Linked DNA regions of Tribolium castaneum. The protein of the gene in region 3 purifies or fractionates together with the protein of the main gene of each other region. This does not show direct contact. Links are inferred from orthologs where the notes say so. Each region holds a gene or a part of one and is shown on either strand. Other genes may lie near its edges. The genes, in order: RpS3, l(1)G0004 and bys.

Region 1 (3,760 bases), on a different chromosome or scaffold from region 3:
AGATGTGTGAGTTTTTTTCACAAAAAAAGGAGTTAATTATTACAAGCTCATTGGTGGCGACCAGTATTTATTTTCAAGGACTATGGAAGAAAAAATACAATAATAAAAAAACATTTATTCTCACTTGGTGTATAAAACCTATACATTTTCTACATAAAATGGATACACTTAAACATCACTATCTAAATAAATCACAGTACTCTTAATGCTGAGACCTCGTTTGCGATCCCACACATATTTTTATCCACAGCTATGTACAAAAATCCCCCGTCCCCAAAGTCCACACCCCACGTATTCCTGACAATATAATGCGGAATACTTGCAGTCAAATCATACCCAACAATCTGGACAGCATGATTTAACTTTGACGGATCCCCATCACAGTGATACTCAATAACACCTCCAATGTAATTCTGCCAAGTTTGCGCATTAATCGCAACAGCCAGGGGTCCATTATCCGCCAAAAGCCTCAACATAACATCTTCAGACCCCACTAATCTGAAAGTTTCCATAAGAAAGAATAAACTTAAAAAATAACTAAACGAACCCTTCACACATGAAGTCTCTAACATGGACACCAGCCGAGCCCCGGCCACATTTACCCCCATAATCGGCGTGTCTTTGAATCGTGAAATTTGTGGCTTTGATCCAAGACAGTAAAGTGCAAATATCGCCCCCATTGCACCCTTTGTTGTTACCAGCGCAATCGATAATTTCTTGCACACTGAGCTCCTCAGACTTGTTGGTTTTGATGGCGTTCATGGACTCCACAGTTTCAATAACAGAGTAGGCCCAGCAGGCCCCACAACTGCCTTGGTTGTAAATTCTAGTCACTGCGTTTTTTTCTCTCCAATCTACTTTATTAGGCACTGTTGCTCGTTTATGGTGGTGTCGTTTTGGCTCATTTGAATGCGTCTTCTGACTCAGGTTTGATTGTAAATAGGTTTGGAAAAATTCCTCTGGTAACAAGTCCGAGAATTTCGTTAAACCGTACAGTGCTGAACCATTCCTTTTTTTGGAATTCAAAGTCTCGATTGTTTGTAGTGATTGCTGAAAAGCGACGTTATACAACAAGGACACAAATTATAAGTTTTACCTTAAATGCATGAAGACGGTTTTGATACACAGAAGGGTCATCGTATGTCTTGTTGAACCTTTTCAAGTACTCTTGAAATTGTGATTCGGCTTGGTCTGGGCCTTTTATTCTTATAGGGATAACGAAAAATAACAGAGCAATGTAGAAAATCGCTTGCAAGTAAGTGCTCCACGAAGCCATTCTTATCAAAACAGATATTTTGGTAACAATGATAATATTGAACTATTTGTCGCTATCGCCATGTTTATTAATTTGATTATCTTGAAACACAATCCTGGCCCAGTTAAGTGACTGAGTGGAACAGAAATTTATAATGAGGGTGAATGAGGTTTAAGCAGGTATTTTTTGATCCACATTGTATAAAATGTCACGACATAACCTCAACGTATGTTGTCAAACCACAAACATAAAAAATAGATGACAGAAATTAACAAAATTACCAAAAAAACTAGAGAATTTATTTATTTATTTTTGTTTTTAATTTATTTTTGCCTATGGTCTTACATTGTTTTACGCAACAGTTGCATAAATTATTCGGTCCAAGATCTTTCCCCAAGATAATATTTTACATTTGGCGCAACTTGTGTAGAATTACATTGCGTTTATTTTCTCAATTACGGCGAAAATATACGACAAAATTGAGATATTTTCAATTATTCGTATGCAAAATTGTCTGGAGAATTGATTGGCGTCGTAAATTCGTAATAGTTTTTCAAGTTATAAACCGAAATAGATTTTGGCTATTTTTGCATTTGTTAGCAATAATAATATTTTTGGAAACTACCAGTAGCAGGACAATGACCTTTTTTTAAACGATAGATGATTAAAAAGAGTTCTGAACACATAAAAGTTCATAAAAGTTGTTGGTTTGGTTGGAGCTACTCAGATAAAAAAAAAATAATTTTTTGAAGGTAAAAAAACTGAAAAAAGAACAGTCTTTTCATTACGTTATTTACCCGATATGCAAGAAAGTTTTCTCTCCAAAAATTATTCAAATAAGCCGCCTTGTAAGCGTCCTCTATCACATCCCTTCCCAATTAGGTCGACTTCCGCTCGCCACACGTCAAACCTTTTCCATTTAGAACGTCAAAATGGCGACTCCAATTTCGAAAAAACGCAAGGTAAATACCAGAAATTGGCCTTTCCATCCACTTAAACATGTTTAACTCTTCATTAGAGCCCAAAATCTTGTAAAATAAGCACACATGTTTGGGCTAACATTCATGTTTACTTGTTCCCCAAACCATAACCCAACATTTTCCCACATGTGGTCCCCAGTTCACCGACTTGATGTTGCGCTTATTTGTAGTTTGTTGGCGATGGCGTTTTCAAAGCCGAATTGAACGAGTTCTTGACTCGTGAATTATCAGAAGATGGGTACTCCGGGGTTGAGGTCCGAGTCACCCCAACTCGCACGGAAATCATCATCATGGCCACACGTACTGACCGTGTTTTGGGGGAGAAGAACCGTCGTATTCGTGAATTGACTTCAGTCGTACAGAAACGTTTCAATTTCCCCGAAAACTCAGTCGTTTTGTATGGCGAGAAGGTGGCCAACAGGGGTCTGTGTGCCATTGCACAAGCAGAGTCTCTTAGATTCAAATTGATCGGAGGTTTGGCCGTGCGCAGGGCTTGCTATGGTGTTTTGAGGTACATCATGGAATGTGGCGCTAAAGGTTTGGACATTTGGCTCAAAACGTATTTTGAATTAATTTAGTGGTTATTTTGCAGGGTGTGAAGTTGTAGTTTCTGGAAAACTGCGTGGCCAGAGAGCCAAATCGATGAAGTTTGTTGACGGTCTCATGATCCACTCTGGGGACCCATGCAATGATTATGTGGACACAGCCACCCGCCACGTCTTGCTAAGACAGGGTGTGCTGGGAATTAAAGTAAGTTTTTGTAAAATTATTGGTGTTTGTATGATGCTATTTTGTTGTATTAGGTCAAGATTATGTTGCCGTGGGACCCCAGCGGCAAAACAGGCCCCAAAAAGCCTCTGCCTGACAATGTCTCTGTTGTGGAACCTAAAGAGGAGATTTTGCCTGCCTACCCCAGCAGTGAAATCAAAGCAGTCAAACCTGACGCACCACCAGCTATTCCAGTAGTAGCTTAAAGTTATCATAAGATTAATTTTCAATAAAATTCTGGAAAGATAACTTTCGTTTTATTTTAATACCAAGAAAAATGCCCTTCCTGTTTCAACCTTATTCCTAATTTTGCCATTGGGAATGTTTTCTCCCTTCTAAAAAAAGAAATTCCTCTAAAGCAGTGAGTCATTAACTGCGACGTGTTTTATCGACATTTCAGAAAATTAGCTAAACTTTGGAGCTACGTAATTTCCAACTAAGTAAGATTTTACAAAATGACACGTAAACAAAAATTTTGGCGAAGCAACTAATTGTTGAGTGAAAAAGGCAAAAGCAGCGTAGATAATTTCCGTTTCTTTTTGAACAAAATATGGTTTAAAAATGTGCTAAAGTAAGCATTTAAAAGACATCGTGATTCTGTCCGTTTTTAAAGGAATTTCGCAAAATAAGAGAGCTTAAAGCAATTTTTAATTTTCGGCCTGTTTACTAAATGTTTATCTCTGAACTGGATCATAGTTCGTAATAACAATAACAAAAATAAAAAATGGGAATAATGAAGAATAATGGGAATAATGAA
Region 2 (2,374 bases), on a different chromosome or scaffold from region 3:
AAAAGTGAGGTTACAAAGGCGCAAAACCACATAATTTATGTACCAATTGGGCTGGAAATAGGTGCATTACCTCAAACTGGCAGTCTCCGTTCGAATTCGTAACCAATTATCACTTTAATCACAATTTTGGGAAACGATTTTGAAAACACCGCACTTATTTGTTATCACCGCCATTTTTAATGAACATAACCAAGAAATTTTTTTATCAATTATTTATTGTTAATTAATTATAATTAGCTATTAACAATTCGTGCAAAAACGCCCATGTGAAATAGTGTACTGTAAAGTTGGGTCAAAATGTTCAACGAGTCGAACTACGATTGGGGGGCCCACAACAGACAAGTGGTGCTCGAGGGGCGTGCAACGTTGGAACGAACGGGTGAAAGCCTAGCAAGATCGAACCAAATCGCCATCGAGACGGAACAAATCGGAAACGAAGTCGTCTCAGAATTAAATGAGCAGCGAGAAACCTTGTTGCGGACCAGGGGGCGGCTTGAAAACGCCAACGAACAGCTGGACACCGCAAAATCGGTGCTTAAGCAAATGGGGCGCAACGCCATTTACAACAAACTCATCCTCATCTTGATTATAATCATAGAAATCGCCATACTTGTCTCACTCACTTATTTGAAATTTTTCAAGAAATGATTTATTAAATAAATACTACATTCGTTCAGATACTCTAGACGCGATGTTTCGCAACTGCCCGTAAACCTTCGACGGTGGTGATCCTAGAATTAAGTTACAAATCGCCCTCCTGGCGAGTTGAATGTTTTGGAAACTGCCCAAAATGTGGATCTTGCTGTCCGCCAGGACTATCCTAGTTTTGGTGACGTTCTCGATTGTGAATTTCGTGCGCCCGCCTTTACCCGCAAGCCGGCCAATGGCCCGCGACTGGTGGTCCCCCTTGAGTGTCTTCACGTCCTTAATCTCGAAAGTCTCAATGAACAAGTCGTCCAAACGCAGCAGAGCCAAGGCATCATCCACGTCAAAACCGTACACAAAAGCCTGAAACCCAACTTAAGCCACAACCCAAAAACCACACTCGTGTTTATTTACTTTAACAAAATCAGCGGCTTTCTGCAAATTGCCAATATCCTCAGTCTCGTCACACGTCTTCACCTCGACGTTCCGCGTCTTTAGATTAAACCTCACTTGTAGTTTCAAATGCTCCACAATTGGGGTGAAAATTTTAAGCCAGTTTTCCTTCAAAGGGGTGTACCTGTGCGCAGGGACTGGTACTTTCCTCATGTTGTCCTTGGTCTCGGAGTACGACTTTGTCCTGGACCTTTTATGTCTGGGTCTGTTGCGGACCTTGCCTTCGATCCCGTTGTGAGCGACCACTTCCATGGGGGCCTCCCCTAGCGAGTCATTTCGCCGCTTGGTGGCCCTCTTCGGCTCGAAATTGTCAGTTTCGATGTTAACATCGGCTTGCGTGGCCATTTTGTAACACTAGTCGCGGATTTGGGGCAAAATTGGCTATTTTAAAACCATAACCCTTTAAGGTTAGGTGCACGTGTTGACGAAACGTCAGAAAGAGCGCAGGAGTGCGTTCATAAACTAAAGTATCTTGTGTTGTTGTGACGTCAGAGTAAGGCAATTTTCACCTAGAGTGAATGCAGAGCTTTCTGAAGTTTATGAACGGTTGAAGTAGACTGCAACATGACAGTTGACACTCTTGTAATTGTTTGACATAAAAATATAACCTGTCGTTTAAAGTAGGTAAGTGACAAATAATATCAGCTCTTTGGTCCGTTTATGGCATAGGTACATTTAAGCCCACCAATTCAACAAACGAACCGTAACAATGAATGACATAATTACTATCCCTGTTGTATTATCATCGGAAATGTTATTTGGCATTCCGGTTACATATTCTTCTGATGAGGACAGCGATGTAACTGATGAAGAAAATATTGTTACGATGATGCTTATAAAAAGTAGGAAAATTAAGAAACCTCAACGTATTGAGAATTATATTGAAGCAACAATTTCTGGTTATACCAAGCAAGAATTTCAGCAACATTTTCGAGTAACCATTGAGGCTTATGAACAACTCTTACAAACAGTTGGCCCCTATTTAATGCGACAAGCTGCTACTGGACGAAGTACTGTTCAAGTCGAAAAACAATTGTTGTCAGTTATATGGATACTCGTAACACCCGATTCATACAGGTTAGCTAAAATATTATAACTCCACGTTATAATATTGTTGATTTTAGATCAGTTGGAGAAAGATTTGGACTAGCAAAGTCATCTCTTTCACAGTGTTTCAAACGAGTAGTAAAAATTCTAAATGCCGTAGCACCAACTATTATAAAATGGCCAGAAGGGATGCAATTACAAAATGTTGAGAGAAGATTTCATGCATTTG
Region 3 (3,233 bases):
TAATACAAGTAATAAAATAGAGACCTGTAGTCGGGTCTGGCATTTGCCGTTTTTTGATTTTGGCCTCGGACACGGCAACTGTGTAAGCCGAACTCAACTTGATAAACCAGGCGGCCCGCATCATAGGCACCTGATACTCGCACAGCATTATAAAAATCTCCTCTTTCTTGTTGAAATTGGGCGCTTTTTTCGACAAGTGCATCAATGGTTTGTTCCCAGCTAGATCCTTAAACCAGAGTTCTATGGCATTTTTTGTTCGTATTGTGGCGGGCCAGAAGTTGTCTTTGGGGTTGATTTGTTGCCGCTTCCTGCCGGAATCGGGCAACATGCTCAACTCCTCTTTGCGTTTGATAATGTCATTGAAATAATCCCCGACTTTGCTTGCCGAAATATTGCAGTTTCTGGCCGTTCCAAATTCGTCGCTTAAGTGGGTCATTGTCAGGAACCCATGTTTAACGTTGACACTCGTCAACTCGTCTTCTTTTTGCTTCGGTTCTTGCGGGTAAACGTCCGGAGGGCCGATTTTCGGCTTTTTCAAAGGTCGTTTTTCGTACAAAAGGCTGCTATTGAACATTTTGGCACAATTTGGGATTGCTATTATTTTGAACACTGACAAGGGGGCCTTTAGGCAGCTCCAATGTAACGCATCGCTACAATTTAATTAAAATCTCGACCCCGGGGGCTTCATTGCGGGGGAAAGTGCCAACACCTAAACGAGAGGATGGGAGCTAATATTTCAGTTTTTACACCGATTTAGACAAATAAAAAAACGACAAAGTATTGAACAAGCATTATGTAAGCTTAATTAGGAAAAAATGTAGTGATAAATTACCGTTTTGACGAAATAAACACACTTTTATGCACCAACAACACAAGTTTTGAAGATGGTGTCCTCCATCTTGACCTCTAGGGATAATAAAAAAATCCCTGCTAATTGCTTAATTTTATCGAATTTTAAACTAATAGCGCAATAGTTTAAAAAGCGAATTTTTAGAAAATTAATTTTGCAAAATATTTTACCCGATTTGACCCAATCTCGTACTTAATGCTGCTGTTTTCCAATTTAATTTTAAATTGCCAATGTCGCCAACCCAAACCTCTGACAAGTCCTTTTAGGTTACGTCCAGATAGTTTGAAGACACGTGTGGTAAACAAATAGGGATAATGGGCAAAGCAAAGCGCCTGAAGCCGTCTCAGATGGGCACCAAGGTGCCCCTGGACCAGGACATCGAGGACGCGAAGTTTGCCAAGTCGAAAAACCGCAACAAAATCCGTCTAAGACAAGACGACGATGAACAAGTTTGTATCGCTTTATGATTGTCTAAAACCAATAAAAAATTCCAGTTTGTGGACTCGAACCTCTCGCGGAAGATTCTCTCAGCCGCCCGAGAGCAGCAACGCGAGCTGGACTCAAGTTTCGGCCCCACGCCGTCCGAGGCAAGTTCAAGCAAGTTTAAAGTGTCCAAACTGGGGGACGATGACTCCGAACCGGAAGAGGAAGACACCCTCGAACCGGACACGTTTTACGAAAACATTGAAATCAATGAAGAGGATGAGAAAGCTTTAGAGAAGTTCATGAGTAGCAATCCGGCCCCGAGACGCACTTTGGGGGATATTTTGGCCGAGAAGTTTACCGAAGTTAAGACGCATTTTAGCGAGGAAGGCTCGGTCAAAATGCAGGAGTTGGACCCACGGGTGGAACAAATGTATCAAGGGGTGAGGGATGTTTTGCGGAAATATAGGAGCGGCAAGTTGCCGAAAGCGTTCAAAATCATCCCCAACTTGCGGAATTGGGAACAAATCTTATACATCACGGGTAATTAAAATCATTGTTGATGCCCAGCGGTTAATTAAGTTTTAGATCCGCCAAGTTGGTCAGCTGCTGCCATGTACCAAGCCACCCGTATTTTCGCCTCAAACCTCAAGGAAAAAATGGCTCAGAGGTTCTATAATTTGGTTTTGTTGCCCCGAATTCGCGACGACTTGGCCGAATACAAGCGACTCAATTTCCACTTATATCAAGCCTTGAGGAAAGCCCTGTTCAAACCTGGGGGCTTCATGAAGGGAATTCTCCTACCACTGCTTGAAAGTGGCGATTGTACGCTCAGGGAAGCTATTATAATAGGCTCAGTTGTCGCAAGAAACTCTATTCCTATTTTGCATTCTTCTGCCGCGATTTTGAAAATCGCGGAAATGGATTACACCGGCGCCAATTCGATTTTTTTGCGTATTTTCTTCGATAAAAGATACGCGTTGCCGTATCGTGTTGTGGACGCAGTTGTGTTCCACTTTTTGAGATTCGAGCGAGATTCCAGGGAATTACCCGTTTTGTGGCATCAGGCTTTCCTGACATTTGTACAAAGATACAAAGCTGATATTTCAAGCGAGCAAAGGGACAGTTTATTAGAATTATTAAAGAAGCAAAACCACCACGCTATCACACCAGAGATCAGAAGAGAAATTCAAAATGCGAAATGTCGAGACGCTGAAACCGCCGAACCAAAAATGGACTTTGACTAAATTAATGGTTACATAATTGTGATAATTATATTGAAAAAAATCGGTTACAACAAGACTATTAATAAAAACTTGGAAAAATTAGGAAAATTATGTTACTTAAACCAGAACTAATTAACGTCAATACGATTTGTTCCTAACTTAGGGATAAACTAGTGCTCCCTAATCTCTATTCATCCAAATAATGACTTTCAACAACAAATAAGCGACTCCAAAACCAACTAGAAACTTCTCCTTTTGGAGCCGGCTCAAGTTTTCTAATTCTAAGGCCATCACACGTCTGTTGAGCTTCGCCATTTGCCGCCTGAGGTGCAGCACCTCTTCGGCGGCCGTCAGCCTCTCGCCGCTGCCCCCGATCGGGGGCGTAGTCTCGCGTATCGTCAGATTCAAATCCGAATCATCAAACGCCTGTTTTTTCTTTGGTTTAACCACCGGAATCTGGTTCAGTTCCGGGTCCTCCATCTCCTCAAGAGTGGGAAAGGGGTACTTGTCCAGAGTCAAAGTCCTGGGCGGGGTCGCAACCCGCACATCCCCGGGGTACGGTTCTGGGGGAAGGATCGAGTTGTCAAAGACAATTTCGCGTGGGGGCGCCCTTGTCCCTAGAATCCTAGTCAGACGCACCAAATAACCTAAACAACTCACCAATGTGCTGATGTTGCCCCACGACGAGGATTCGCTCAGGGACTTGCATGTTGATGTTGTCGCGGTTCCACGGG

Evidence for each region.
Region 1: the proteins of bys (region 3) and RpS3 purify together in Homo sapiens (affinity purification with mass spectrometry; 4 studies listed by BioGRID and IntAct, counting the BioPlex papers as one, with this or other methods). This does not show direct contact. The link is inferred for Tribolium castaneum from reciprocal best matches to the Homo sapiens genes BYSL and RPS3.
Region 2: the proteins of bys (region 3) and l(1)G0004 fractionate together in Homo sapiens (co-fractionation; 4 studies listed by BioGRID and IntAct, with this or other methods). This does not show direct contact. The link is inferred for Tribolium castaneum from reciprocal best matches to the Homo sapiens genes BYSL and PNO1.

What each region holds. Positions count from the first base shown.
Region 1 is NC_087402.1:7,605,813-7,609,572, forward strand, and holds RpS3 (ribosomal protein S3), read left to right. Parts: upstream 1-1,392; 5' UTR 1,393-1,434; exon of another isoform or gene 1,435-1,508; intron 1,509-2,084; exon of another isoform or gene 2,085-2,137; 5' UTR 2,138-2,187; coding exon 2,188-2,217; intron 2,218-2,405; coding exon 2,406-2,772; intron 2,773-2,827; coding exon 2,828-2,985; intron 2,986-3,038; coding exon 3,039-3,209; 3' UTR 3,210-3,252; downstream 3,253-3,760. Other genes in the region: cathepsin O, read right to left, coding at 192-498, 548-1,050, 1,097-1,276. UniProt on the Homo sapiens protein: Component of the small ribosomal subunit. The ribosome is a large ribonucleoprotein complex responsible for the synthesis of proteins in the cell. Has endonuclease activity and plays a role in repair of damaged DNA.
Region 2 is NC_087396.1:22,616,834-22,619,207, forward strand, and holds l(1)G0004 (RNA-binding protein pno1), read right to left. Parts: upstream 1,561-2,374; 5' UTR 1,444-1,560; coding exon 1,060-1,443; intron 1,009-1,059; coding exon 664-1,008; 3' UTR 649-663; downstream 1-648. Other genes in the region: Vti1b (vesicle transport through interaction with t-SNAREs homolog 1B), read left to right, coding at 298-648; uncharacterized protein LOC107398176, read left to right, coding at 1,808-2,175, 2,223-2,374. UniProt on the Homo sapiens protein: Part of the small subunit (SSU) processome, first precursor of the small eukaryotic ribosomal subunit.
Region 3 is NC_087398.1:4,030,595-4,033,827, forward strand, and holds bys (bystin), read left to right. Parts: upstream 1-1,078; 5' UTR 1,079-1,164; coding exon 1,165-1,299; intron 1,300-1,344; coding exon 1,345-1,816; intron 1,817-1,861; coding exon 1,862-2,520; 3' UTR 2,521-2,607; downstream 2,608-3,233. Other genes in the region: kto (mediator of RNA polymerase II transcription subunit 12), read right to left, coding at 25-574; Tango11 (transport and Golgi organization protein 11), read right to left, coding at 2,680-3,116, 3,160-3,233. UniProt on the Homo sapiens protein: Required for processing of 20S pre-rRNA precursor and biogenesis of 40S ribosomal subunits. May be required for trophinin-dependent regulation of cell adhesion during implantation of human embryos.